Linked DNA regions of Drosophila melanogaster. The protein of the gene in region 3 interacts with the protein of the main gene of each other region in a pairwise test. Each region holds a gene or a part of one and is shown on either strand. Other genes may lie near its edges. The genes, in order: CG9135, bol and CG12607.

Region 1 (10,929 bases), on a different chromosome or scaffold from region 3:
AGGCCGCTTGCTGGGCGTTGGGGCAGCCCGTCACAATGACCATGTGGGTCTGGCGTCGCAGGATGGGAATGGGCAGCGGCAGCTCTCCATGGGCAGCTCGAGCCGTTAGCGACAGGGCGCAGAGCTTGCGTCGGACGCCGTAGTGGTTGAGTAGCACACCAATGCCAGGCAACACGAACACGGCGATGGTGTGGAAGATGATGAAGGACATGAACATGGCGTTGGCGCCCAGGTCGGAGGTGCAGCTGATGCTGACCGGGTTTGGCGTGGTGTTCGCCGCCCCACCGCCCTTGACCACCATCGACTTGGCGATGATTTTGTAGGCAAACAGAAAGGGAGTGCTGATGGCGGCAGAGGCGAGCCAGGATAGCAGCGCCAGGGAGACGTGCAAGTAGCGCCGCTGGCGAAGCTGCGCCAATCGCGGATGCTTTACTGTGGCGTAGCGGTCAAGGGAGAGCATGAAAAACGAAATAGTGCTGGCCGAAACGGGCATGACCTGAATAGCGTGGGGTTAACTTAGTTACTTGGCTAACTTAAGCTTGTTTGATTGACCCACTCACCTGTACGTAGTGTATGACCTTGCACAGCACAAGGGGCAGCGATCGCGTCCTCCGGTTCATCGCGAGATTGAGGAGCGTGACCGGAGCGGAGATGCCGGTGACCAGGAGATCGGCAATGCAGACGGCCAGCAGCAGCGGGTTACGCAAACGCACCGAAGAGGCGGAGCAGAGGGTCAGAACGAGCGTGGAGTTGCCCACGACGCCGCCGAAAACCACCAGGCCATAGCTAACAGCGAGCAGGAGCAGCGTCAGCGGGGAAATGGAGTGCTCTGAGTCCACGTCATACGGATTGCCTAGACTAAAGTTGCCATAGTCGTAGTCCGCGGGCAGCTGGTTGGGCTCCTGGAGGGCGAGATGCAGCTCCGCGGAGTCCAGGCCGAGGTCATCGGTGGGCTCTGGATGTTGGCGCCGATACGAGTTCTCCCACCACTGCTGCAGATTGTCCCTGTTCATGCTTTCGATCCCGCGCCAGTATCCCTTGCCGACACCGATGCTCCTGCCAGTTGTTGTGCCTGCACCTGTTCCTGTGCCTGTGCGAGTTGCCGTGTCCTGGTCCGTACTCTGTTTGGGTGATCTTCGATGACGAGGCGCTTGCCTGGTCGCCTCATTTCATACTAAAGGAGCTGCCGTGCGACGGGCGACAAAGGAAGGTAGCAAAGTAACAAAATGCCATCATCATCAGTCTTTTTGTCTGCCAACAAGGACACTACTACCACACAAACACCCACATAACCACCAAGCACAACCACATCCCCGCCCCGTTGACACTGACACTTATGCAATGCTGGCACGAGTACGAATGCGAACAAGGCGCACTTAGAGATTACTGATGCTCTTCCTTCCGGGCGCCACCCACCGCTGCCCACTTCCACCCATCGGCTGCGAAATGAATGGCCACGCAACCTTGCACTTTGTGCACTCGACAAACCGCCACAAGGTCCGCCCTATGCCCTCCAATTCCTGCCAGAATCAGAGACGCTGTTTCTGTGCTCGCCAGGGACGAATGGTTCGAATGTTTTTCGGGGATTTCCCCAATCAACGGAGATTTGGAATGTGGCACTTTGGGGCAACCGAAATCAATTCAATACGGAGCAGCAATTAGTCGCAGATTAAAAGTGTGTGCGGTGTTCATGATAGAGTGCATGGGGTAAGGGTCCTTTGTGGGCTATTCCCATGCGGTGATTCATATCTCTTGCATGGCATGGCAGTAAATTTTGCTTCATTAAAATCGGATGACTGTAGAATTGGGCAGAGCGTTAACGAGATGTTGAAGCCATTTCCGGTTTCATATTAAATTTTTAACTGCCTTGATTTAAGTATCAGTTCGGTAGTATAAACTAGTGGAAATGGAACCCCTTTTCTAGCGACCTCCACTGTCATTCGGTTCAGATGATGGCTGCCACTGACATCGCTGCTCCGCTGACGTTAAGCCCCATCGAGGAAGCATGTCTGGGAAAGTTTTCGCTTAATTGCGCGAGAAAGCCGAACAAACAAGTCCTTGCTCGTCCTTGTTGATATTTAAAGGACAGCACCTGCAGTTGAAGCCCCAAAAACACACTCTTCACCTTTAATGACAACAGACATATTTTGCTATAAACGATACACCGAGAGAAAAGCATCAATCTGCATACACTTGATATATGTATGTTTAAAGAGCATGGTCTTAACTTAACTCGTTTTTTGAACCCTCTTCACATCTGACTCGATGGATTTATGGATTCCTTGAGCATTTCTGTGTTGATCTTTGTTTATATTGAAGTCACGCCCCCACAAAAATAATTCGGTGGTGGAGCAAATCGGGCGGAATAATTTTGCAAGTCACAAATTAGCATATTCGACTGCTGACGCCTTTTTGGATAGACAGGCGGTGATTCTGAAGGCTCTCGACTTGGGGCTACTCTCTTTCTCTACTTTTGCTGGCAAGCGGATTGCGGCGATCCCAGAACTAAACGAATTGTGTATGTATTAATTTGCGTCACTCAAACGTCAGCAACAAGCTCAAAAGGTGACAAAAGCCAGGATGAAAGAGGGTAGGAGCTGGATTATGGGGCACAAGGATGTGCCCGCCAGGAGAGCCAATGAGGTAGGTGAGCGAGAGAAAGCGATGATGACGAGATTTGCCATTGTTGTTGCTGCCGATATGAAAAGTGTCCGCCACAGGTGACTTAATGTGCCACAAGCAGATACGATATACACACAGCCGTGGTTTGGGGGGCGGTAGTCCTGTCTTGGCCGAGGCGCAGGATACACAGCCACATCCACATCCCTGCGCCCTGCCTGCCTTTCTTTTCCTTTGGCTTTAACGTCAGCCAGCCCGTAGCTTTTTGTCTGTCTTTATTGATTTCAGCAGCTTTTATATTCGTATTAGGCGGACGGACGGATGGGTATGGTCGGGGATGCCGGGGGTCCTTGTCCAGGCTTCTTGTTCGTTGGCCTATTCGTGACCGCCACAATGGCCAGCAAACAAGTCTTTGTATCTGCGCGATGAGAAATAATTATACAAGGAATTTATAGTCCTTTTTTTTTAAATGAAATTCCCTCCTTAATTTTAGGCTCCATTTGGTGAATGGATTTCGGGCAGGACACTTTCTAATTAGTTTCGCAGGCGATGGTCGCTGGCAACGCAATCACACACCCACATCCGAAAAAAGGACACCATAACTAGTGGAACAACAGCGAAAAATAATGTTGCACACACGCACACACATACGCTCGCAAACAAACCTATACATGCACACATATATACATGTGCATAAACAAGGATTCCCCCACTGCGTATACGTAATGTCCTACCGTGTTATCCTTAACGAAGTGTGTTGAGGCATTTGTTGCTGATCCTGCTGCTGCTCGATGTTGTTCTGCGGCGCTTTCTTTGTATGGAAGGCACTGTAATTTACAGTTAGATCGTTGCTGTGCCGCCTTTTCAATATATTTAATTTAGCAAATATGTATTTCGTGTGCAGAATGAATCGCCGTACACTTGTAAAAAACGCTTTAAAAACTCCTCGAACTATTTTGTTGATATTGTCAAATGTGCGCGTGTGTGTGTGTGTCTGTGTGCGAGTGTGCGGTCGGTGTTTGTATGTATGAGTGTCGGGTGGGGTGGGGGCGAAAAAAAGGTAAAATGAAACTCAAGGCGCGACGTGCAGGGATTGTTCCTCAGCGGCGCACATTACTCGACAGGACCACGGCGGAAGACTGTGTCAGGGAAAAATCCGCCGGAGCTCCGGCCGCAAAGTCGCACTCCGAAGTCAAGAGTCCTCGCGCGCGAGAGAGCAGAGAGACTCGGCGAGAGAGTGAGAGAGAGAGCTTTGCGCCGGAGCTTTCCGCACTCTGACTTTCGCTTTCAATCGGCAGGACATCAGGACTGAGGACTCAAGGCTGGGACTGGGACTGGGCCTGGGAACTCAGTCGGCACAGGTCAGAAATCGGGGTATACCGCCAAACATCCCTTGGCGGACTGACCTACAGCTACCCCAGTGCGGCTAATCCTTGATTCCAATTTGTTCTTAGATTCGCCGCTCTACAGTCAAACCTCCATAAAGTTTCCTGCTCGATAGGAAATATGTGTGCCAGCTATAAGTAGCTTTAATGTTTACCATTCAGTGAAAAGCCAGTGATAAACGAGTGCAGTCTAAATACTAACATTCTCTTTATTTAAATATTCCTTTGTATAAGATTAAAATGCATGATGTACTATTAATAGTTGCAACTGGTATTGGATTTTTCCATGGTATACTTTTTATATGTAACCTATGCGCTTAGTTCGTTAATTTACGTGTTTTGTAGTTTTGTGGTTGCTTTTGCTCACTCTGTTCGAAATGAATGCAGAATACTGTAACTTGTTACGTTTAAATTACAAATTAAAAATTAAAAATGGGTAATCATGCTTTTTATGCATCTTTTTAAGCCTAAAGGTGGGCGGCAATAAATTATAAAAGGGGAACAGGATCAGGATGGAATAGTATCAGTTACAAGAATAAATTAGAGTTTGGAAACATAATCAACTTTTTTTTTCCGTTTTCTGAGATTATCGTATAGTATGTAGATAGCGAGTTTAGCGTAATAATAATCTTTTAACTTATAGCATACATTTTGCTGGATTTTTGTGTTTAGTTTCACTTTCGATAAGTAGCAGCAGAGTTTCGATGATCAGTTCTGAGAATTTCCTACATGGAGCAGTATTGTTGTTGGCAGCGGTAAACGTGTTTGCAGCAGCACTTGGAAAGCCGCACACCATCTAATCACCTAATCATCGATAGTGTACTCGGGCATCTTCTCGTACTTTTGCTTGGTGGCCTCATGGGTGGTGTCCACAAGCAACACCGTGTGCGAGTAACCCATAGTCACTTGAGGTATTTTAATGTTGTCCAACTTTGGCACCTCCTTGGGCACCGTCGACGACTTCTGGAACTCCCCAATGCCCAGCTCGCCAAACGTGGGCGATGCGCCCCAAGCGATCAGTGTGTCGTCGGCCGAAATCATAATCGATGTATTGGCACAGCCAATGTCGGTAATGTTCCAGCCGGAAAGATCCTGCACTGGCTTGGGGTACATATTTGCCTCGCCCGTCTTCTTATTCTGTCCGAACAAAAACAGCAGGCCCAGCTCGTTGACGATCAGACTGAAAGTGGAGCCGCAAAAGACGCTGCGCCCACCCCGACCCTGAGTATCGAAAAACTTCATTAAACGCGGCACCATTTCGTCCTTGGGCTCTGCGTGTCCGAGACGCCCGAAACCGCCAAAGCCCCAGCTATAAACGCGCTTCTTGGAGTCGATGGCGACCTGAAGAGAAAAATGTAGTTTAGACTTGAAATAAGTGGGGAATGGAGATTATCCACATACCGTGTGATTATTGCCGCAAGCAAAGTCAACTATCTGCACGCCATCGACTGGCGTTACATGACCCTCCTTGCTCTTCTCTATGTACAAAACGACCTTTTTGGGCGACGTCTCGAAATGGAATGACAATTTGTTGGCGTTGACAAAGTACTTGGCGTCAGTATTGTGTCCCAACTGACCGTACTCCGGCAGCCCAAATGTGTGCAGGCTACCTTTAATGTCCAGAATAACAGAGAACTCAGCTCCGCAACCGATGCGAATGATCGGCGGACCTCGGTAGTTAATTGGCGTGGGCGAATAAATGTTAGCATGCGTATTTCCCACACCGCACTGGCCGGACTTGTTTTCGCCGCAGGCGTATACGGTTCCCGTGTCAGTGAGAAACAGAGTGTGGTGCCGGCCGACAGCAGCTTGCACTATGTTCAGCTGTTCGAGGGCCGGAATAATGGTGGGCTTCTCCGCCAACTTGATGTCTTGGCTGAGGCCCAGCTGGCCGCTGGGATTACGCCCGAAACCGAGCGCCTTGCGGTCCATGTTGATAAGAATGGTGTGTGCGGCACTGGGTCCGCTGGCCACATATCGGTACTGCGAAAGAAAAGAACTCAGAAATCAAGTGGACCACGACTGTGCGGAATAGCTTACCTTCTCTTCTGTGAACCGATGGAAGCTGTACAGATTCGGCCGCACCTTCGTGACGTTCTTGCGGTCCCGCTTGCCAGTCAGGTCCCAGGTCACCATGCCGGCGATCAGCATCTGACCTGGAGTCTTCTCTAGCGTGGCCAGCAAGTCCTCGGGAAGCTTGCTAGGCGGGTCGAGGTCGTCGTGGGGAATGAGAACCTCCATCTGGTTGGCGGCCGCTGCCTGCTGCTGCACGCCATCGTCGTCGGACTCGTCGCTGAACTCGTCCTCGTAGTCCGACTCCTTCTTTTTGGGTCGCCGCTTGTTGGGTCCGGCTCCATTGCCACCTGCCTTTCGCTTGGCCGACATTTTCTCGCTAGTACTGGGTTGTATTGTGGACTGGACTGGTCTGGATCTCTCTGCTCGGCGGCTGGAAGGGAGCAATGTAGAAGATAAGTTCAAGCCCTGAAAACCGGAACCAAACTTCACACGCAGCAGAGCGTAGCGCGCACTGTGTTTATGTTTTAATCTTCATGAACTGCTGAATACGTGAAATCGAAGTAGGAAGGGTCGTAATATTAAATTTAAAAACACGTTACGTTTTTACGTTATGTATTTCTATATTTGGAAATAGTGTTTCAAAATATCAACTAAACATAATTTTCAAAACGGTAATTCCGGTTTTCATGAGCTCAGCTTCGCATAAACGGTCCAAAACCAAGCCGCTCTCGGCCGCTTGGTGGTGTGTGTTTGCTGTGCTCGCGTCTGTGTGACCCTGTGTTTGTGTGGTGGTTTTTGCACAGAAACAAAATGAAAGCCGCAGCAAGCGACGCCAACAGATATAGTGAATATTCCTAGCCTTTGATAAATGAGTTCTTGATACCCGAAAAACTACGCATTGTGTTCATAGTTTTGGCTTTCAAACTAAAAAAGTCCATGCCGAAGTTACAGAAAAGACAATGCCCGGCGCAAAATTCACCTTTAAAATGGTAGCGTCACTTTACAAACACAGAGACATTTCACGGCTTCAACGAATCAAATAAGTTTGCTGACTTCTTGCAGTCTTTTAACCATTTCGGGTTGTGTTCTTTTACTCAAATATATTTATCTAGCGGGTGAACTTACAGTTCTGTGTGCGGCTTAATTACTTTTCACAGCTAAATTACAAACAACAACGCTAGGTTACAGAGCTGGAACATGTATCGATGGCTGCTCGCGATTATCGATGTTTCCACAAAGCAACCAACGTCGATGTTTTTGTTTTCTTAGCAGTTATCGATTATTTTCGCCGTTCACACTGGGTTTTGTGTCTATCGAATTTTTAAAAAATATTATGTTCTAAATAACAATTAATATGTGGTCTATTCATTTGGACAAAAAAAGTTTTGTTCTTTCATATGTAGAACTTTGTCATCCAAAAATTAGGTTTCTTTAAGTTATCCATTTGAGTAATCCCAACATTATGTTTAACTTTAAAACCAACTTAGTCCTTCAATTCTAACAAATAACCTAAAAAACCCAATTATTAGTATGCCCACATAACTGAGTGCGCCATGATCGCCGAAATTTGTTATATCTAAAGTTTTGTTTATTGAAACAAACATGTATGGAAATTAAGCATAGTTCATTTGAAACGTATTTGATTTAGCACAAAACGGGTAATACATTGGCTTTTTGTCGGAGCAGCCCACTCCTACATCACAACTGGATGAGCGGCTGACCCTGGCGCTCGCGGTAAGCGGACACATCCGGCATCAGTTCCCTGCGAAAGCGCTCGTGGTTGCGTGCGAACTCCTCCAGTGCTTTGACCTGGCGACGCTGGCGCTCAGCACCGTTGACGGTGCTGTGATTATTGTTGGCCGCTCCCGGATCCCGGACATCGGGATAGAAGACGCTGTTCGCGATGGCAGGAGCGGGCGTGGGACGGCGCTGGGCCCTGGGCGTTCCGCTGGGGCTTCCGTTTCCGTTTGCGTCTGCAAGTAGAAAGTGCCTGTAGCCTGGCTTTGGGAATATGCAACAGATTTTGCAGAGAATGTCGCTTAGTGGCATTCCGCTGACTAAATTAGATCGGCTCTGGGTAAATGGCAACGATAAGCTGGCAATCGAAGTTCGGATTATACTGAGAGCACTCTGCTCTTATCTCTAGCTTCTACTAACGGTAGACTCACATTGTATTGGGACAAACAAACAGCTGGCTTTGGGGCCGAAAAATGCCGTATGATTGTATTTAGGCAAAGTTGTAGTTCTGCGGTTATCTATTGGCCAAGTTTCCCACTTAAAATTAGCTTTTAAAACTCAAAGCCCCGAACATGGTGATTCATTTCGTCTTTCAATTTGGTCACTTCCGTTCAGTTAATTTTTGCATTACTATACCCACAGCATTGTACATCCATTTTAAGAGTACGTGTTCATACCTTGCTTGCTCATTAGCTTCTCCTGCTGCAGGCGCGCGTTGCTCGATCCGAAGTATCCGTTGATAAATGGCAGGGGCGACATGACTACTCCGCCCCTCAGCGAACTGTCTGGTGGAGGAGGAGCGGGTCTGTTGAATGGATTTGTCCGCCTGGGCGGCGGTCTAGGCTTCGCACTCTCCGATGCATTTTGTGGTCCGTCCAAGGCGCTGCCGAGCATCTCTGTAGGTTAAAGAACGCAGCGGATTAGTGCACAGGGATTGTAGGATTAGCCATTGTGCAGTCTCACTGTTTCTTGCGTCCTCCATCTCTTGCAACTGGCGTTTTAGCTCGGCCAGGATGATGCGCTTATACTCGTAGCCGGCGCATGTTAGCGCCTTCATCCACGTCTCCATGCTGTCTTGGTTTTCGGCGGCGAGGATGTAGGTGCGATTGCCGTTGAAGGCGATCTCGAAGCAGTAGTTGTCCACCTCGTTAGACAGCTCAATGGTGCAGCCCTCGACAATGATGAGGCCCAAGGGCTCCTTGTCCAAGCGCGACTCGAAGTAGAAGAGCAGGTTGCCTTTCAGCACGAAGTAGCGTCGCTGGAAGGCCTTGTTGACCTCGCCCCGTTTGTTGAGGAAGCCTGCAAGGCGTATCGGTGTGTGATAAATGGATTATGATTATTAATAGACGAGCGAAAGGGCTCGCTTGCATACCTTCCATGTCGAAGGGCGGCGTTCTCGCGAACACGTACAGGTTCTTCTCGTTGATCTTCATGGCTGCACTGTCTCGGGCTGCATTCGAAGCAAATATGGGTGTCCTATTTCCGCCTTTCGTCTCTTATTATTGTGATGAACAGGTAAAAAAAATGCAAAGCGAGAAACAATTGACGCTGCGCGAACAGCTGATGGCCAGTGCTGCCACACCTCCACCGGTTATCGATTGCTGGGTGCGGAATTTCTAGTTTTCAATGTAGATTGCAAACATAAACGAATTTTGAATCCTGCGAAATGTCGTACTTACTCACGGAAATCGCGCTGGAGATGCTGGGCTACAAGTTCTACGACACCAATGGCACATTCCACCTGACCAATTTTCAAAACAACTCCACGCTCAGCGAAACGCATCCCGATGAGCCCTCCCTGCAGGAATTCATTGAGTACACAAATGAGGAGCTGAAGCAAGACGCGCAACAGCAGGAGCCGCACACGCTGGCGGTGCAGGAGGAGTCGTACCTGGATGCCCCCACCATACCCGAGTCACGCTATGCGCGGCGCACGCCGGCCAAGGCGCTGGCCAAGATAATGGACTACGAGAGCGAGAAGATAGTCAACCAGATCAGCACTCGTCTGGAGGGCTCGGTGTCACGTCGGGCGGCGGCGGACAGTGACGAGCAGCTGGCCGAGATCATCAACGAGGAGAGGAAACTAATCGAGGCGGATGCCGAGGTAATACACAACTTTCGGGAGCTCGTGGAGAGCCGACTACAGCGATTGGATAAACGGCCCTACGAGAAATACGTACGTACCTTCGGGCCGCAATAGGAAGCTGCACGTGCAATGTCAAAGTGCCGCCATTACTTTTAGAATTAATTTAGTTTATAAATTTAATAAATAAGTTACCGCTACAGGGTGCCTGCGGCACTTTCATTTTCTCTTACTGCGCCAGTGTGACCACCCTAGCCCATGCACTGGCCAGCGATAGCCCCATCTATCGGAGCCACTGTCATCTCTAGCAGCACAGCACGAGTAAAGGTCAGCTCTCGTAACTTGTCTCGGAAATATTCAATAATTCCGAGATTGCCGTCAAAATTCGAGTCGTGTACTTCAGCTAACGCTCCCCCTGTTTAATTCCGTTCCGTCTGCCCCCGCAGGCTCAGCTCAGCCCGCATCTCGGCTGCCAATTAAGGATATAAAGCCCTCCCCGGACGGTGACGACAACGGCGCTTGCATAATGAAAATCTGGACATCGGAGCACATATTCAACCACCCGTGGGAGACGGTCACGCAGGCGGCGTGGCGCAAGTACCCCAATCCGATGACGCCCTCCATCATTGGCACGGACGTGGTCGAGCGCCGTGTGGTGGACGGCGTCCTGCACACGCATCGCCTGGTGCAGTCCAAGTGGTACTTCCCCAAGTGGACGCACGCGCTGATCGGCACGGCCAAAACTTGTTTCGCCAGCGAACGCTCCACGGTGGACCCGGAGCGCAAACAGATGGTGCTGAAGACAAACAACCTCACCTTCTGCCGCAACATCAGCGTGGACGAGGTGCTCTACTATGAGCCGCATCCGTCGGATGCCAGCAAGACGCTGCTCAAGCAGGAGGCCACCGTGACCGTCTTTGGTGTGCCGCTGTCCCACTACATGGAGGACCTGCTCACCTCGACCATTAGCACAAATGCCGGCAAGGGACGCCAGGGCCTGGAGTGGGTGATCGGGCTGATCAACACGGAGGTCAAGGGCATCGCTCGCGGCACCGACGAACTTCTGCACAACACACGGCGCTCCATCGA
Region 2 (10,710 bases), 4.7 Mb from region 3:
AACGATCGAAAGCCGCCCAGCGATTTATTTATGAATAGTTTATGTACAAGCGAAAGCGTTTAGATTATGGTTTTTGAGCATTTTTGTTTCATCATTAAGTGTCATTTGGATTCGTATCTGTATCTCTTAGCCTATTCGGCAGCGATAAGCTGCGTAATGCCGTTTGTGGTGATCAGCTGCAACAGGGATCCAGTTTTGGGCCTCTCCTGATCTTGGGTCCACTTAAGGAAAAGTCCGGCCACCTCGGTGAGCGGTGTCCAGGTTCCAAAATCTGCATCCGGCATCCATTTACGGTTCATGGGTGTATCTAGAGTTACGGGAAGTATGGACACAGCCAGGGAACCAGCTGGCAGACCGGATTTCTCAGCGCCCAGCGAGCGGGTCAGCTGGTGGACAGCTGCCTTGGCCATTCCATAGCCGATCATACCGGGTGTGCCCTCCAAAGCGGGCTTAGCTCCAGTGAGAGCCAGCAAGCCTCCGGCCTTTAGATGCTGAGCAGCCACAGCTGCCGAAATGGCGGAGGTCAACACGCTCTGCTTCCACATGAGATCGGCATTCTTGGCCAGATCCTTCTTGGCATTACCACCTGCCCAGCCGCCAGCCACGCAGATGACGGCATCCAGTTTCTCGCCGGCAAGGGATTCCCCGACTTTGGACACCACCGTTTCCTCCTGTTCCACCCAACTAGCATCGCGTGGCACCACAATGCTAACGTCGGCCTTCTCGTTCTCCGTCAGATCGATGCTGCCAACCCACTGATGGATTATCCAGGTGAAGGTCGTAGTTGACGCGAGGGAAAACAATAGATAATGAGGCAATTGTATTTAATAATTAAGTGAAAGGTAACTCACATAATTGTTGGCTTTAAAGTGATCGACACAGGCCGAACCCAAGGCTCCTTTGCCACCGTAAATAACCACTCGACCTGCGGACATGATGCGTGCTGCCAGTTTTAAAGTTGCAATTTAACTAAATGCGAGAAAAACACGAGAACACCGATTTTGGTGAGTCAAAATCGTGCGGGAGCTTTGAACGCAGCTGGGGTTTTTAACCGCAAGACCAGTTCTACCGGTAATAATCGGGAGAATGAATTTCAAGTCGAGTTTAAGCTTCAGCGTGCAGATATAGCTTTTTATTCGCTACAAAAAGATACAGCAGCAGCAACAAGTGGAAAATCAATAAGATGACCAGAAAACGCACAGCAAGGTCACACTGTCGTGAGTAAGGCGTTATTTGGTATTTTTTTTTTTTGGTATTCCACAGCTGTTCGCCGCCAACTTTACCCGTCTCGCTCACGCATTGCTCGCTGCTCTTTTTTGAAAAGGGAAATGCGTGAAATTCGTGCGCCGCATTTCCACCAGACCAGAGTTACGCGCCGTAGCTGTGTTTTCCACTCAGTCCCACCAGTCGTCGTCGCGTTACGTCATGGACACTCTAAAATATGAGCCACTTTCGAACTACAATGTAGTTCAGGCAAATAGTGAACACAGAAATAAAACTGTCTTATCTCAATTAAAGAAAAATTTCCCCGAATTGTTTAAATCACAATTAGAAAATATATGCAGCGAATATATAGATATATTTGCATTAGAATCAGAACCTATAACAGTTAATAATTTGTATAAACAACAGTTGAGATTAAAAGATGATGAGCCAGTATACACGAAAAATTATAGAAGTCCTCATAGTCAAGTGGAAGAAATACAAGCCCAAGTTCAGAAATTAATAAAAGATAAAATAGTTGAACCATCAGTTTCACAGTACAATAGCCCTTTGCTATTAGTACCCAAAAAGTCAAGCCCGAATTCTGATAAAAAGAAATGGAGATTAGTAATAGACTATCGCCAAATTAATAAGAAACTTTTAGCTGACAAATTTCCACTACCGAGAATAGATGATATTTTGGACCAACTTGGTCGAGCAAAATATTTCTCCTGCCTTGATTTAATGTCAGGTTTTCATCAAATCGAACTGGATGAAGGCTCGAGAGATATAACATCTTTCTCAACCAGCAATGGCTCATATCGTTTCACGCGATTGCCATTTGGCTTAAAAATAGCGCCTAATTCATTCCAAAGAATGATGACTATAGCATTCTCCGGAATAGAACCGTCTCAAGCATTCCTTTATATGGATGACTTAATAGTCATAGGTTGTTCCGAAAAACATATGCTTAAAAACCTCACTGAAGTTTTTGGTAAATGCAGGGAATACAACCTAAAGTTACATCCTGAAAAATGTTCATTTTTCATGCATGAAGTCACATTTTTGGGACACAAATGCACAGACAAAGGAATTTTGCCGGATGACAAAAAATATGATGTCATTCAGAACTACCCAGTTCCACATGATGCGGACAGCGCTAGACGTTTTGTAGCATTTTGCAATTACTACAGACGTTTTATCAAAAATTTCGCCGACTATTCGCGGCACATAACAAGATTATGTAAAAAGAATGTTCCATTCGAGTGGACAGATGAATGTCAAAAAGCATTCATACATTTAAAATCTCAGCTAATTAACCCAACACTCTTGCAGTACCCAGACTTCAGCAAAGAATTTTGCATAACAACAGATGCAAGCAAGCAAGCGTGTGGCGCAGTTTTAACTCAAAACCATAATGGCCACCAACTCCCAGTTGCTTATGCATCCAGAGCTTTTACGAAAGGTGAAAGCAATAAGAGTACAACAGAACAAGAGTTAGCAGCAATTCATTGGGCAATAATACATTTCAGACCATACATTTACGGAAAACATTTCACTGTGAAAACAGACCATAGACCATTGACATATTTATTCTCGATGGTGAACCCCAGCTCTAAATTAACTAGAATAAGGCTTGAACTAGAGGAATATAATTTTACAGTAGAGTATCTAAAGGGCAAGGACAATCATGTAGCAGATGCGTTATCAAGAATAACCATCAAAGAGCTAAAAGATATAACTGGAAATATATTAAAAGTCACTACAAGATTTCAAAGTAGACAAAAATCCTGCGCAGGAAAAGAACAATTGGATTTGCAAAAGCAAACCAAAGAAATAGCTTCAGAGCCCAACGTATACGAAGTCATAACAAATGACGAGGTACGAAAAGTAGTGACATTGCAATTGAATGACTCGATATGTTTATTTAAACATGGAAAGAAAATTATTGCAAGATATGATGTTGGTGATCTTTATACTAATGGAATTCTTGATTTAGATCAATTTCTCCAAAGGCTTGAATTGCAGGCCGGTATATATGATATCAGCCAAATCAAAATGGCACCGTGGAAAAAAATCTTTGAACACGTTTCAATAGATAAATTTAAAAATATGGGCAATAAAATATTAAAGAATTTAAAAGTAGCGCTACTTAACCCGGTGACCCAAATAAATAATGAAAAAGAAAAAGAAGCTATATTGTCTACATTACATGATGATCCAATACAAGGAGGGCATACAGGCATTACAAAAACCTTGGCCAAGGTCAAAAGACATTATTACTGGAAAAATATGAGTAAATACATAAAAGAGTACGTAAGAAAATGTCAAAAATGCCAAAAAGCAAAAACAACAAAGCACACAAAGACTCCAATGACGATAACTGAAACACCAGAACATGCTTTCGATAGAGTTGTTGTGGACACAATTGGTCCACTACCCAAGTCAGAAAATGGTAACGAGTACGCAGTCACTCTCATATGTGATTTAACCAAGTACTTAGTTGCCATACCAATAGCAAATAAAAGCGCAAAAACAGTCGCAAAAGCTATATTTGAATCTTTTATTCTAAAGTACGGTCCAATGAAGACGTTCATAACGGACATGGGAACAGAGTATAAGAATTCAATAATTACTGACCTGTGTAAATATTTGAAAATAAAAAATATAACATCAACAGCTCATCACCACCAGACAGTTGGAGTAGTAGAAAGAAGTCATAGAACTTTAAACGAGTATATACGATCCTACATATCGACGGACAAAACCGATTGGGACGTATGGCTTCAATATTTCGTATACTGCTTCAACACGACCCAATCTATGGTACATAATTATTGTCCATATGAATTAGTTTTCGGTAGAACAAGTAATTTACCAAAACATTTTAATAAACTACATAGCATAGAACCAATATATAACATAGATGATTACGCTAAGGAGAGTAAATATAGGTTAGAGGTAGCATATGCTCGAGCAAGAAAACTTCTTGAAGCACACAAAGAAAAAAATAAAGAAAATTATGACTTAAAAATAAAAGACATAGAATTAGAAGTAGGAGATAAAGTTTTACTAAGAAATGAGGTAGGTCATAAATTAGACTTTAAATATACGGGGCCCTATAAGATAGAAAGCATAGGAGATAATAACAATATTACGCTACTTACTAATAAAAACAAAAAACAAATAGTTCATAAAGATAGATTAAAGAAATTTCATTCATGATTGAATTTAAACTTATATTTTCCTTAATCATTTATACAAATTTTCCATACACTACGTATATTTTTATCTTTGCATTATAAAATCAACTATTGTTGTTCAAACAAAAACACAAACAAAATAAAAATAAAAATAAAATAATTTGCATTTAATAATCAAAATAACTTCACTAGGTTACGTTATTTTTCAAAAGGAGGGAGATGTAGTATGTGCCTATGCAATATTAAGAACAATTAAATAAAATAGCATATTAACTTATGGCAGCACTTTGTTGCTATGTTTATGTTTATGCACGCAGTTAGGCCAGGGCGGATGTAACATGATCACCCACTCGAAGGCCACAAAGTATAAGTGCATTGCCCACTCGAAGGCAAAAAGTATAAGTGCATGGTCAGCATTCACACGCCGACCAAATACATATTACATACGTACATACATATCTCGCTCTCCCGATAAGCCTAGATATATAAGATATACATAAGAACGCCGCTCCGCTGCTGGCGTACCCGGCAGCGCAGCTACGCGGATTAGCCTAAGTCAAAATATATAAAAAACTGTAAAATCGGAGAGACTCTGTAGACGTTGAGCTGACAGAACCATTTCTGCCTACTCTAAAATCAAAAGAAGAAATTGAATAAATATATGTCAGCCCGACGGCTGCCTTCAACTTAAAACGGACTTGTGTTCTTAATTGGAGTTCATCATTACACGAGAGCAGTTGTAGAACTAAAATTGTTGTGCTATATCGCTAAACGGTGAACGGTAAATATTGAAGAGAGTTTTCCTGGCTTCAATTTTCCTTTGCAATCGCCCCCACCATCCTTGGAATTTTGGGTTTTTTGGAAGAGAAAAACACATGTGGTGTGTCGCCACAGTGTTTTGGTTTTTCTCGGCCGCCCAAGTAGACGGCGCGTAGTTTTTCATTTTGACGGGAGTTTTCCTTTCGGTCGTCGCCTTACACTCATTTCTAATTGTGATTCGTAGGAAGTAAGTTGTCTAGTGCTATATATATATATATTCAAGTAAAATTGTTTTAAATCGGAACACACAACAATAATATATACAAGTAAACACCACTAAATATCGGAAAAGAAAGAAGAGCAAATAATTAAATTACAAAAGAAACCAAGAGAATATCAAGCTAAATCCCATCATCCCATCATCCCATCGTTTTTGGTCTTCTGGTTCTTGTTCATCACCGACGTTATTGATATTGATATTGAATACTGGATATTAAGATACATATATACAAACGCATCGTATCTGGGATAAACGTTCATCACAAGGAATATTAATGATACGCAAAGGCTGTAACTGTAAACTGTGTCCCCTCTCACGTAAGACGTAACGTAAGGCAGCCTGTGGAAACGACGTAGTTTGGACGCAATCAGAAAAATCTCCAAGGAGGACGCAGCTAACGGTGAGTTTTCCTGATGACAGAACAGGGGATTGCTTTTGGGTGGGGGGAGGATGAATGTCACTCGCAGGGAAAATGAAAAATGCCAGGCGAAAATTCTTGGCCATGCAACTCGTTTGGCCGCTCTGCCTCTTTCGCTCCCGCGTACGCTTATGTGTGTGTTTATGCAGCGGAAAACGTGTATTCTTGAGAAAAACCAGAAAATCGAAACCCGGAATTGGGTCAGTATGTCACACGCCGTCCCGCTCCCACCGATTCCAATTCCGATTCCGATTCGAGCTGCTAGTCTGGCTAAAAACTCTGGCTAAAACGTGTTTCGTGCTTAGTCAATTTGTTCTTTTTCATCTAGTCGCAGCTGCGCTGCCGCAGTTGGCGTCGCTGCACGGCCACTTGACTAAAAGCGGCCTAAACAGCATCGCCTCCAGAATGCCTAAAAAACAAAACAACAACATGTAGTGCCGCTGCACGTGTGCGAAAGAGAGGGCGGCGAAAGGTGGGAAAAAGACAGAATGTCTGTCACCCGCGCGACCAACTTAAATACCCTGTACTTATGTGAGGGAATATTGTAGAACAGCTTATTAGTATAGATTCTACACAATAAAACCGTTTAATCATATCACGAAATATTGATAATTAGTACATACAAAACATATGTGGTTTTGTCAGCATAACAAATAATATTATAATAATATAAGGTCAATACATGAGATTTTTAGGCCCTAATATAATTTTCCTAGAGGCAGAACTGCTTTTTTATTTATTATTAATTGCTAGATTCTTTTATACAAAGATAGTTACTTTTTAACTTACACATGTATGTACATATGTATGTGAATGTACATATATGTATATGCTGAGTATCTCCTATTCGCCAGCTTATCTTTTGTGATGTAAAATGATAAATGGCTCGCTCTCCGACTTTCGTAGTTTTGCCTCTCTCTAGTTTTTCGGCCACTCGCTTCACTTGATCTTGCACTCGGATTTCGGCCGAGTTGCAGTCGACAGCGCTGTCAGCGTCGACGGCGACTGCGGCGGCGGCGCTTTTACCTTGAGCACGCCTGCACTTGTCACAGCCCCTCCCCCCGCCCACCGACTCACACGCCGTTTGAATTTGAACTTCTGAAAAAGCCAACACCTTTCGAAATTGTAGCCGCTTTTATTTCTTTTTCTTTTGCCTCCGAGCAGCGGCATTTTTATATTTCTGATGTTTGCTAATAAAATTATTACGACTTGGCCGACAGCGGCTGCTAATGCGTTTTAAGGTCGCCGACGCTGCTCTTGTTGATTTTGATCCAATAAAAAAATGTGATGATGCCCCGCTTAGATTTCTCGGTCCATTTAACATGTGTCCATTGGCCCAGGATCCGATTTGATTTATTTCAAAGTTATTTATTATACAGTCAGGCGAAAAGCAAAACAAACATGAATGGGGAAAATTGAAGGCAAATGGCAGACAGCTGGTGCTCATTTTCCGGGATGCGAAAAAGGGATAGAATTGGGATAGTGCACTGAGAAAAATCAGTGAAAGAGTTCATATCATATCATACTGCATATGTTTGCATCTCAAGAATCTCTTTGTATGAGTAGAGATCAAATGGATAAGGAAACAGCTTTCGTTCATGAGATGTCTATCTCTAAAAACTACTTATAGGTGGAAATTTATTCTAGACAAGGGTAGAGAGCACTGCAAATACGTATCCAAAAACAACTCCCCAGATAATTCATCATTACATCATAACCGTTGCGAATTCATGACTAATGGCCGATGATTTTTCTCTCTGTGGGGAATACGCGACGTCGTGGGATAGGGATAACAACACGGAAGAGGCTCCATTATAGGTTGCTGGTTTACTAGTTAACTGGGCTCCAGCCAAGGGAGCGAAAGGGAAAGGTGACGAACGAGAGGGAGAGAGCGAGAGAGCTAGGGGGAATCTGAATTACAGAGAGTGGGCGGGGGTGGTGACACTGACAGTGGAGCACCTTCGTCATCGTCAAACATTCGGGCTGTATAAGAGCAATAAATAATGCACACGAAGAGCAGTGATGAGAGCCAATGATATGGGAAAATATCGGACGAGAAATTCGACAGAGAGAGAGAGAGAGAGAGAAAGCGGAGAGAAATTTGGGGGGCGAGCGTAAGAGATTCGCCTTGGGGGGTTGATTGTGTTTAATTTTTGCACTTAAGAGCGCAAAAAGTGGCTTTGATTTTCCGCCGGCCCTTCTCACGCAGCTTGGGGCATGCCAACTTTGATGGCCGATTTGACCAACCCCCAGGAGGGAATTCCCAACTTGGCTCATTAAATTGATAACATTAAGCAGGCGATATTTAATTTGATTTTCTCCAGACACAAACACAATCTGATACACAAATTGTATAGATTCTATAAGTTATAGTTTTCTGAAGATTTAAACTTAAAACAAAATTACTGTACTGTTTTCATAGTGTAAAATACCTATGCTAATTTTAGTTTTCGTGGCACTTTTAAATATTATACATAAGCATGATAATTTGTCAAAGTTTCTTGTAGTGCATATATTTTTCGCAGAGAGCATCCACTCAAAAATATTTCCGTATTCTTGGCAACATTGTTGTTGGCGATGGGTTAGTGGGCGGAAAAGTGGGTGTTGCGTGGGCAGTCGCCCCACATTTGCATGTTCCCAACACGGCACACATTTTCTCGCTTCTCTGCGCCGCTCACGCGTCTCTCTCTCTCTCGCTCTCTCTTGCCATTTTTCTCGCTCTCTGGACGGATGCCCAAGTATATAGCCCAAAGTCCCAAATTGGGATAGGGATGCGAAGGCTATAGCGCTAACCTATATAATTTTTTGTGTTCCGCTTCTAACAACAAGCACATCCTCTGGTGGTGCTCCAACCAAAAAAGGAAGGAAATCAAAACCTCTGGCAGTTGAAGGTTCTTTTTTCCTACACACTTTTTTAAAGCAGTTGCTGATTTTAATATATATTTTTCCACGTTTGTGGGGGCAGAGCAGCAGCGTTTTTTTTTTTTTTTTGCATTGCTTCTGGCTTTGAATTTAATGTTAAGTATACGCATCAGTGAACTCAATTTAATTATCATGATTGTTTCGTCCGCTGCCTGTCTTTGCTTTCGCTCTGCTTTGCCGTTGATGAAATTCAAATTTTCCAACTTCACAAACAGACGCTTCTCGCAATTTTCCAACGTGTTTTCCGCTGTTTTTTTTTTGTCCAGCTTATGTAAGTGAAGCGCTGAGAGCTGATAAAAATGAAATGAAAAAAAATTACCTAGCTAGCGGACGGACGGGACTGGCTGGCCATAATTACGAGCTTTAGATTCGCTCGCCCTTCGCCCATTTTTTATCAGTGGCGTTATTTATGCGTCCTCCCACAATGACAAAGTTTCACGGAGTGGTTGATAGTGTGGGTGGGGGGGCAGTGGTGGTGGTGGTGGGGGGTGCGCCTTTGATAGACAACAATTGAGCATTTGAAGTGCAGCGTAGCGCAAAGAGAGCTCAAAAGTGGAAAATATGTGGAAAAACAAAACTGAACTAAACTGAACTGACTGACTGCTATTCTCGTCGCAGCCGAAAACCCAAACGAAAAGCAATTAAGTTGCCTCGGATCATTGCACAATAAGTAAAGAATCAAAAAGCTCGAAACATAACTGTGTTTGCTGCCCGTCCAGCCAAAACCGTTGACGTCGCTGCCAACTTCGCAGTCGCTGCCGACGCTGCACACTGCTTTCGGCCCATATGAATAACAATAGGGCCAGTTGGCTGGTCGGCCAGAACCCAACGAATTCGGTTAATTAGTATTATAACTAGAAGCCCCCCAAAAAATAGGTGTTGCTCACCACGCCTCATTGGCCTGGATTTTAAACAAAACCAGTCAGATTAGCACAAAGCAGATGCGAACAAAACGCAGTTTTATGAATTAAATTACTTTATTTAAGATTTTAACGATTAATTACAAGCGTAATTTAATTTAATTTAAGGTAAACATGGACAAGATACGAATTTTATTTCGATTTAATTTCCAGATCAGTTTTTTTTTTACTAATTAATATATATTCTTTTATATGAGATATGCTTGGAAATCAACAGAAATGTACTTTGTTTCCAGTTGGAATTATAGCCACAGGCATTTCCAATTGTCATTTGCCGAAGCAAAGGCACAGTGCCAATCAGATAATCGCAACCTTAACCGTTATTAGATCACTGTACAGCTGCGTCGCAGTCGTCGTCTCTTTCTAGGGCGACAACAACTCTAATCGGAACGGGAGATTATGTGATTGAGAGAGAGAGTGGGTTGTTATTGGCGGTGGGCGGTTGTGGGCGGTGGGTGGTGTGTTTAATAAATAGGCCAAATATGTAATATTGCTAAAATGTGTTTATTGTAATCTTTTCACACACACACACACACAACTACACAAACTTAAAACAACGCACGTGCATCGTTGCATCCCTTGGATTTCGCTCAAAGAGAGCAAGCGCGCGGCAACAAAGAGCGCCAGAGAGAGTGGAGCGAACTGTGCTGCCGCAGTCGCTGCCGCTGTCGACGTCGACTGCGCAGTTGGGGGCCCCCAAATCGGGAAACTATATTCGTTCGACGCTGAGTCGTTGTTCTACCGTCGTTGAGATTGCAACACTTCTCGATTTCGGGTTTTCGGAATTATAAAAAATAACAGAAATCCGCCGTTGCCGCCGCTCTCCGCTTATTTTCGGCCAAAATACACAACTCTCGCGTCGCACGTAAAGTAAAAAAAAAGAGTTCTACATTTTATAACGCTGTGTGCATGTGTGTGTGTGCGTGTGCCAGTTTTTCATGCGTTTTCTGCCGCTGCAACAACAATTAACAACAATAACGACAACAAACAGTTACCACATCGCCT
Region 3 (9,473 bases):
GGCCATTCAGTCATGTGGGTCGTTGTCTTGAGCACTGACAGCACTTGTCAAACCAATCCATAATGGATGTCAAAACAGCAGCAACATCGATCGCCACAATGGATCTCCAAAGGCTGGCTAAGAAATGCAAATGCAGAGTCAACAAAGATAAAAACCGAATCCGATTGAAAAGGCAACACGACGCATAGCAGTTAATCCACTGTTTACAATCTCTTTACAAATTTCAACCTTGGCCTTACACACACAAAGCGCAGCAAACGGCATCCGATTTGAAACAATGTCATAGCAGTTAGTCAAATCATCAAAAACACAACACACATTCAAATGCCTTTTGTGCCTGATGGATACAGATGGCCAGATGATCCGTTGACTCACAGCAGATACAGATGCCAGAACTTTACACAACTCGGCAGACAGAGCGGCGGCCAAGAAGAACCTTTATCATCATCATCATCCACGCCATGTGCCGCATGGAAATAATCATTCGAAGCCGAAAAAAAGAACCGCAAAACGGGTTCTTCTAATAGCCATTAAGCTATCGTCTCACTCTCAAATACGATCATAATAATCAGCATTTGCATTTGTGCAAATTGGCTAGAATGGCTTAAACTTATAGTTATAAACATTTAAATCGATCACCTCTCTTTGGGTTTTTGCCGAGCTATAACTGGTTGCTGGACTTCGTGTCAGGGTGGGTTTGTCACAGAACTAGATCACATCGATCGTTTCGAACTATCACATTAGCCTTTTAAGCTTAGTGCCAGTTTTATTGGGTGCAATTACTCAAAATTCAAGTTCACTGCCAGTCGATTACAGCACAATCGCAGGGTATTCTTGGGTATGTCCATTGGGGAAGTGTATATATCCATATATGTCTGTTTTATGTTCGATTTTTGCTTATCTGGATTGCCATATTTACGCTCTACTAATGAAATGTTGAATCTGACCTTAATTCTTGAGTTATAGCCAAGCAGTTCCATATGCAGACCAAATTGAATCCTCATTAGCATAATTTGGTTTATATTTATTTTAATAAAACAAACCCAGGTCATTTGATTGTTCTTTAACTAACTAATAAATAATAATTGTACTTTAATACTACTACTAATATACTAATAATTATATATTTGACAAGAAAGGTATCCATAATAGTTCGAGTTGGGCTGCAGTATGTAGCAAAATTGAACATTTTGTGACAATTAGTCGATTTAATTATACAAATTGGCCACTACGCTTGCATGAGCTTCAAAGTTCAATATGCTAGTTCACATGTCTGAGTTTGCAGCACGAGCCGGCCAAAAAGGTGCCAAAGTGGCTAAATTGGCAATGTTCACAGCCACCGACGTCGAGATATCGCTGATGCTTTTTTTCCCCCTTCGGCGGCATCGATTTCATTGTTTGCTGTTGTTGCGAAACAAATTATAGGGGTATATAATAAAAAACTTATTATTAAGTTAAACAATGATTAGATGAAGCTCTTTGTGGCCATTCTCATTCGCAAATCGTCTTTCGATTCTCGTGACCATTTGGCTTTTATTTTATGTCGATTCTGACTAATTTCAATAATTAATTTATGCTTCCCATTAAATGTTAACGTTCTTCTTCGGCAGCTTTCACTGTGCGCGTGTCCCAGACCGTCGGTCTACGACGACTGGCAATCTGCCCTGGCCGGTTAAACATTAAACATGTCGAAACACCTGCAAAACAGGCAAGTTATATGCCATTCCAGAGAGTTCTTCGATTTTGGAATCAAAGACAGACTAACTGTAGGTCAAGTGATTGATCGACGTTAATTGGTAGAAAACATTTGTTCACTCAAATGCAGAGGCGGAAACGAGGCTAAGCATTAGGATTTATAAGCTATTTTAAGACAATTTATTGAGGCGGTTATAAATCTTTCAAGTACCCCAAATATTTTGAGGTGTTGCAATAAATATTTCTGGGCCTAGATCATCATTACTACCCTACGAACGGGTAACTAAACTTTGTCCATCACTGTTTATTATGTTTGTATATATTTCTTGACAAGAGTATGCAAAAGTTTTCAATTGTCTTTTCAACATGATATATTTGCCATGCTTCAGTTGTTGTTTGTTATAATTTTTTGCGTAAAATATTGAATATTCATATTGCCGCTGGTAGACGTCGTGGTGAATGTGCGGAAGCTTTGTTAAATAAAGAATTCCACATACTACTATTTACGAAGCATTGTGTCTAGAAACGTGATAAAATAAAAACACGGGAAAGGTAGAATGGCTTGAGAATCTTCGCTTGGACAAGGTCAAAATAAAATTGTATTACAACGCCACACAATGTCTTCGCTTTTAAACTAGCTCATTTTACTAAGAAAGATGTCAAGACATAAACGACCGTTAAAAATGTTTTATTTTCTGTTTATTCACACGCGCATATTCAAATGCTAAACACAGCTGGTGACCAGAAAACGAGGCGTGTCTTACCCCAAACCAAATCTCTTGGCAGCAACTGCGGCTATAAAAGAAATATTCAAAAAGCACGGGGCTGACTTTGGAATCCTTATCAGGTGACTAAAATCGCTTGTAAACACACCCAACCAGAAATCGATCGCCTATGAAATCTGTGTTGTATTTAACCCCGGTCGCACAACAGGTCGCATGCTTAATATGTATGAACGTTTAGAGCAAAACAAAACGAATTTAGAGAGGCACGTGAAATTGACTGGATTCTGGCTATGGGCAGGCATAAGGTAATAAATTTCAAGAATCTTCGATTACCGGCATTTAGCCAAAAAAAAAAAACTTCTATGGCGGCTCAGGGCTTTTGATTCACTTGGTGCGATATCTGGTTCCTGTATGCAAATTGGGCAAAAGTAGTCACCTTGTTTCCGTACACACAAGACACGATGATGGAAAGATCAAAAACATATTTTACGGGGATATTTATTTTATATTGGCATTAACATAAATAAGAGTCAAGAGTCCGTTAATATAAATGTTATCACGAAGCAGACAGCTGCACTATATCGAAATCGATTGTTGGTCGCATAAATCTGCCCCGCCCTTGTCATTGATTTACGAATGTATAGACTTATAACCATAGGTAGAACGATGCTTTTTAGACGCAAATGACACATTTTGCAAGTCAAATCGCTGACTCAATAGACAATGGCCGCAAATGGCATAAGCAGTCAATAATGAAAGTTTCGCGGGAGATCAAATTTATGAATTTGAAACCTAAGATGCCAGCGGACCAAAGCATTATTAATTACATTTTAAATTTTCTAATAACCGTAAAAACACACGATAAATTGTTGTTTGGTGTTTATTATTTTGGGTAGATTATGAAAAATGCTGCATAAAACTTGTATGTTTCATCTCTGGCCGTTGACAAATATTCCATCAATCAATGCAAGTGAAAGGCAGCAAAAATGATGTCACACGATGGGGTCAGAACCATTTTAAAGTGGGCTTATAGCCATAGTTATATTCATGGTAACATCTTTACAAAGCCCGTTGGTATCTGCGTCGAAAATGGCTTAACAATTTCCTGTCTTAGAGCCACTTAATCTTTTCAGGACGGCCTTGATATCAAACAAATCATTTTTATTGGCACTGCATCTATGGCTCAAGTGGATTCATTCACTTGACGGTGGCAGGTGAATGTATTTCCCCACACACACACATGAGAAACGGAAATGATGTATGACCAAAAGCCGTTAAATTTGCTTATTGTTGCCACTAAGGTCAAGTGAAGATACAAACAATCATGCCAGCAGTCAAACCAATGAATGAAAGAGGGGGCTACCAGGTCGGCTGGCAGATGGGCAAGCAATCTACAAATTGACATGGTGAAGTCAAGTTTTGTCTTATTGAAAACATAATCAGTACGCTTGTATCCAAGCTTGGGCTATCACTTCGATGACTAATCTTTCCCTTGGATAAACTCTGGCAAGATTTTAGCATACTGGAATAGAGCCACTTCAATATGAAAATATTATTCTAATAAAAAATTATGCAAATTACTTCAAGCAGGAGACAAAATGAAAGACTTAGGAAACAAACTTTAATTGAGGCACGCGCTGTGAAGAGACAAACGGCGTTAAAATCAGAGTACATACACTGATAAAAATTGAGTAAGGGGAATTTTATTTGATTTAAATGAAAATTTTATTTCCTGTTCTTGAAAATCAAAAGACTTAAGACACGAACATTAGTTAAAGAGTAATTGTGTGAATGAAATCTTTCGAATCCGATTTCCTGTAAATGTCACATTTGCTTAAAGAAATTGTATTCGATATTTTCAAAACAAAAGACTTAGGCAACGAACATAGCCAAAAATCACATAGCCCTCTTATTAACATTTATTTCGCCACCTTTTGAACAGTGTAGATCTCTAATATTGTGGGCCTTTTTATTTGTGCGTCATGACTCGTGACGACATTTAAGTGATTGTCCAAAGGGTCCCGGCAGCATCTCACAGCCCGTCGGCATCTCCAGCATCCTCTTCTAGTCGCCGATTCTTCTCAATTCGATTCGTTTCATTTAATTTAAATTTTGATTTGAATTGCCTCTGCTGCCGTTGTTGCTTTTGGTGCTGAACGTTGCCGCTTCTGCTGTTAAGATTTTGTTTTTGCCTTATTTATAACGCGGTGTGCGGTTTGTGTCTCATCGGGTTTTGGTTTTTGGCGGTCGCCGTCGCTCTGCCCAGACTCTCTTAGACCCACGTAGCGAACTGAACCGAACCGGACGGACTGAACGGGCGATATAGTATAAATTTCATACCCACTGACCAGCTCATCATCATTTGTGCTTTGAACTTCTTAAGTGTAAATTGCTCGTTTGCTTCTGCTCGAGAAAATTTCGTGAAACCCCAAAACCAAAACAAACAAAAATGGTATGTGATCCTTGCAACAAGGACAACGAATTTTAGTGATATGCTGCTGTTTTAACCAGGATAAAAACGAAAAACAAAAGACCAAGTGAAACGTGATATAGAACTATTCAAATTAGAAACCCAAAAATAACTCTCACCACAAGTGCCAACCAACCCGGACTCAAGTGCTCTAAACGACTTCATCAACGCGCTGTCCCGTTTCTAGTGCTCCTCGGGACTTGATTCACTTCACACCCGTGCCGAAGCCACGCACATGATTATGCTTCAGAATGTTCTTAAAATAACAATCTCACTCACTGGCAGTTTTTGAAATATCTGTTAATTTGTATATAGCAGATTTTGACTTAAACTGAGGTCATCCATATGGGATGATAATATAAAAAGTTGTGTCCCTCAAATTGTTATAAGTCTTAGACTTATTGCAGTTAAGGACATAGTCATTCAAGCAAAGAACTAGGTAGCAGAATTGATGGTAAATATTCTCCTTTTTTTTTTGCAGAAATTCTTTTTGCTATTGGCTTTGGCCCTTGTGGGCATTGCTGCTGGAGCTCAGCTTCCTGACTCCGCCACCCAGGGACCCAATCCTCAGGATATTGCCACCCCGGAGCCGGAGTACATTGATATCGACGAACCTGCACCGGTGGCTGCCGCACCTGCTCCTCGTCCTGTGGCCGCTGCTCCCCGTCCCGTCTTCGCCGCCCCTGCTCCCATCGCTCGGCCAGTTGCTCATCCAGTGGCTCGCCCCGTGGTTGTGGCCCAATCCTTCGTCCAGCAGCCCGTCCAGCAGCAGATTGTCCAGAGGGCTCAGTACGTGGCGCCGGTGGCTCAGCAGGTGGTGTTGCCGCAACAGCAGCTGGTGGGACACACCTACAACAGCAGGGCTGGATACCAGTACCGCCGTCCAGTCTATGTAAGACGTTTCTATCGCCTGCGCCGCTACTAAGAGGACGCAGCTAGATCTTAACTATATTTAATACGTGCTCGACAACCCCAGTAATTCCTCCTATTTTGTCGTTTCTCTTCCTTCTCCTCCACTCCTCACCTGCCTGAATCAACTCTCTACGCACCAATCTTCAACTCAAAAACCAATCAAAATCAAAACCCAAACCGTATCAAGCATTAACAATTATCCAAATCAACACACACATTATCACGCACTGATCCACACTATCAAACTGTCCAACTATCAAAATATCGTATTATAACTATCCTAATCCTAGAACGAAACCATCAAAGAAACGACCAACAAGAAGAAGTCAAGATCAAAAGCATAAAGAGCGAAGTACAAAGAGACAAATGATGTTCTAAAGACAAAGATCGAAAAACGAAGTATTCAGTTATTGTTGAATTGCCCAGTAAAGTACGAATAAATAAACGTAAATTATTTGTAAAAATGATAAACAAATTTTTGGTTCAACTATTTCATTCATCTACCAAGGCCAATCAAACTGGTCGGAAAAAACGGGGGAAGAGTATCAGGTTTTAATTATATTATTCACAGCTCATCAAAGCACAATAAAGTGTGTCGAAATTGTACAAAGATTCGTTCTCGATTTGATGAGTACCCCCCATCGGCATCATCGTTGCTGGTTCCTCATTAATCATGGATTGCCATGAGGAAAATGTACTTGCCATCTAATATGGACATTTGCATACGGAAGCTGCGTATCTGAGCACTTGGGGTCGACTTATTAACAAGTGGCTGGGAAACAATTTCTGTGTTGCGTGGTGTTGGCACTCATTAAGACTACACTGGGCTTAAGTGGTGCGTCTTATTCGGCTAATTAGGGAGAATTATTTATGCAGCTTCTTGCACGACTCTTGACGGGTCGTAAACCGAAACTAGCCGCAGCTTAAACAAATAGAAATACATAAATCTACTAGATTACTTTCAAAATACATTAAGTTTAACCGGTTTAGACATCTTCTGAACCTGCCAAGTTGTCCCAAAAATACACACAAACGACCACTGGCCACATAGTCAAATCAGAAGTGTAAACAATCCGATTTAAAAGCCATAGTCTGTCCGGGTGGTCAGCTTTTGAGACAATGTACTATTGATTGATGGATTGATTGTCAATTTGATTGCCTTGCCTCAGCTTCTATTCAGGGGCATTAACAGTCACTTTTGTCAGTGAACTATGACAAACTGGGTCTTGATCCATCCATTCCATTCCACTTCACTCCACTCTACTCCTTTGTATGGATGGCAGTGGTGACAGGCGGGAAATTCATCATCGGAGGTGCTTCCGTCTTGGCTGGGATTTTTATTTATTCCCTGGTCAATTGGCATTAATAGATCGTTGTGGCCTAATGACTGAATGTTGATTACACGGACTTACACACCCATATTGCAACTTGATTTTAAAGTAGTAATTTGTAACCGGACCTTGTTTTTTAATTTATAATAACATTACAGCACTTTTCTCACAACCAGCATTGTTGAACGCTTTATGTGTTTAATTGCTAAAGGATTTTCTTCTCATAACTGCTAAAAATCAAAACTGTTATACTCTCATGTTTAAAAGCATACAATGGGGCAGCATTGCAAATTAAGTTGCGTTTAGATATTTTGACGAAAAATAGGCTACACTAATTAAGTAGACTTTAAAAAAAAATTTGAAAAATTGATTTCGCTAAAACCATAATGCACTAGCCCAACATATCCTGTATATTTTAATAAGCAACTTTATATAAATATATATGTCTAAGTGATACCTCAACTAATTTTTATTACGCAAACAATACGTTTTCGGCTGTTTAAAAGAAGTCAGTGCAATTAATACATACCGCATGAAAAAAGGCAAATTAGTTTTATTAATGGTTTTGTAATCTGAATATCGTGTAGGTCAGATTTAATAGCCATTTTAAATTACATTTGATTTATTTTTTCTGTTCGTGTTGATGGATTTATTTCAATTTTATTTTATATTGTTAATTGACTGCTCGAACATAATTGCCAGCATTATATTCATCATACGCAAAGTATGCACAATCAAACCCGAAATATTAATGTAGTTATGATCCACGTCCACGTCTAGAATGATCCGATATAAGCTAACTTTCAATTAGCATTTCGTCTCAAATGCATCAGCAAAATGATCGTGCCAAAAAATAAGGAAACAAATAGTTGGTTTCATTAGTGGCGAATAAGAAACAGGCTAGACCGCCTGTTCGAGTGGGGTCATCAGTTTTTCGGTTTTGCTTTCTAAAATCAATGATTTGACAGATAATTTATGGGCCATGTTTATTTAAACGGCGCTACTAAGAGCAACAACCGTAGATAAAACTCTTAAGTAAATCATTGTTGGGCGTTCAGCCAAAGATAAACGTAATAATCTTATTAATTTGCATTTGCTGACAGAAAGAAGCGGGTGGCTATAAGGGAAAACTGGTTCCCAGCCATTAGATCATGAAGTTGATTTGCATAAGAGCAATTCATTTTGTCAACAAACATTCCACGGGCATCTTCTCCATTGATGGCAGCACCGAAAAAATAATGTTTAACTTCCTGATCGCATTAATTTCACTTTCACAGCGATACAAAAAGGTTCGTGTCTAACAATACGCACCTGACAAAGTGGATTAAGTGAAATTAGTTTTCGCGGTAATAAACTTATGGACAAGACCAGAATACTGGCACACATAGCAAATAGTGACCCCCCAAGTCACTAACAGTGAAATAATAGTGAAACGAAAACATTTTCATTCAAAAATACAAAGTTAAGTTTCTCGAACTGGGGCTCCGCTGCCCAGCTGCCACGCGATCGCACAAACAGCTGTTTGCGAGCTTAAAGCTTTCTATCCCAGGGTTCAAGTTTTGGCTAGAACCCTGGTGATTTGGTGCACACTTCAATATGAACACTTTAAATGAAACCGCTGCGGCTGATGAATCGTTGGATACTGCGTTTCTCTCGAGCCCCCAATGTGCTGCCCCGCAGCGCTTTCAAAAAATAAAGCGAAAGTCTCGTGCTTCTCCGGAGACTGAAAGGAAAAAACCCAAATCAACCATCGGCAAACAAGGGGAAAACCCTTCGGCTACAGAACCTAGATATGGCGGCAATTCAAACCGATTTGGTTTACTTGCGCATCTCACAGCTGACAAACAAGTAGGCAATGAAATTGGCGATCTGTATGACCAGCCCAGTACCAGTCATCAAGCTGCAATTGCTGCCGCTAAGCGGGATGCAGCCTCCGCTGGTACCACTAGCTCAGCCAAAAAGGCGCAGTCCAAACCACCTCCTATAGTAATGGAGGGAGTGGACGACGTATACCTGATGATGCAGAGCATCGAAAATATAGTGGACCTAGAAAAGATTGAGGCTAGGGCGTCAATTAGGCTACACTAATTAAGTAGACTTTAAAAAAAAATTTGAAAAATTGATTTCGCTAAAACCATAATGCACTAGCCCAACATATCCTGTATATTTTAATAAGCAACTTTATATAAATATATATGTCTAAGTGATACCTCAACTAATTTTTATTACGCAAACAATACGTTTTCGGCTGTTTAAAAGAAGTCAGTGCAATTAATACATACCGCATGAAAAAAGGCAAATTAGTTTTATTAATGGTTTTGTAATCTGAATATCGTGTAG

The links.
Region 1: the proteins of CG12607 (region 3) and CG9135 interact in a two-hybrid assay, tested with the Drosophila melanogaster proteins (one large-scale study listed by BioGRID).
Region 2: the proteins of CG12607 (region 3) and bol interact in a two-hybrid assay, tested with the Drosophila melanogaster proteins (one large-scale study listed by BioGRID).

Annotation. Positions count from the first base shown.
Region 1 is NT_033779.5:6,047,138-6,058,066, reverse strand, and holds CG9135 (uncharacterized protein), read right to left. Parts: upstream 7,229-10,929; 5' UTR 7,146-7,228; exon of another isoform or gene 7,000-7,145; intron 6,451-6,999; 5' UTR 6,390-6,450; coding exon 6,045-6,389; intron 5,988-6,044; coding exon 5,406-5,987; intron 5,346-5,405; coding exon 4,809-5,345; 3' UTR 4,190-4,808; downstream 1-4,189. Other genes in the region: CG13995 (uncharacterized protein), read right to left, coding at 1-496, 561-1,013; IPIP (inositol phosphatase interacting protein), read right to left, coding at 7,719-7,993, 8,435-8,653, 8,721-9,056, 9,130-9,190; CG34179 (uncharacterized protein), read left to right, coding at 9,424-9,933, 10,287-10,328; slmo (slowmo), read left to right, coding at 10,367-10,929.
Region 2 is NT_037436.4:9,125,032-9,135,741, reverse strand, and holds the start of bol (boule), read left to right. Parts: upstream 1-5,386; 5' UTR 5,387-5,845; intron 5,846-10,428; exon of another isoform or gene 10,429-10,575; intron 10,576-10,710. Other genes in the region: Dhpr (dihydropteridine reductase), read right to left, coding at 132-755, 852-935. UniProt on the Drosophila melanogaster protein: RNA-binding protein that plays a central role in spermatogenesis. Required for meiotic entry and germline differentiation, at the transition between G2 and M phases of meiosis I.
Region 3 is NT_037436.4:4,441,806-4,451,278, forward strand, and holds CG12607 (uncharacterized protein), read left to right. Parts: upstream 1-4,767; 5' UTR 4,768-4,869; coding exon 4,870-4,872; intron 4,873-5,371; coding exon 5,372-5,782; coding exon of another isoform or gene 5,783-5,815; exon of another isoform or gene 5,816-5,989; coding exon of another isoform or gene 5,990-5,995; exon of another isoform or gene 5,996-6,092; coding exon 6,093-6,146; 3' UTR 6,147-6,267; downstream 6,268-9,473.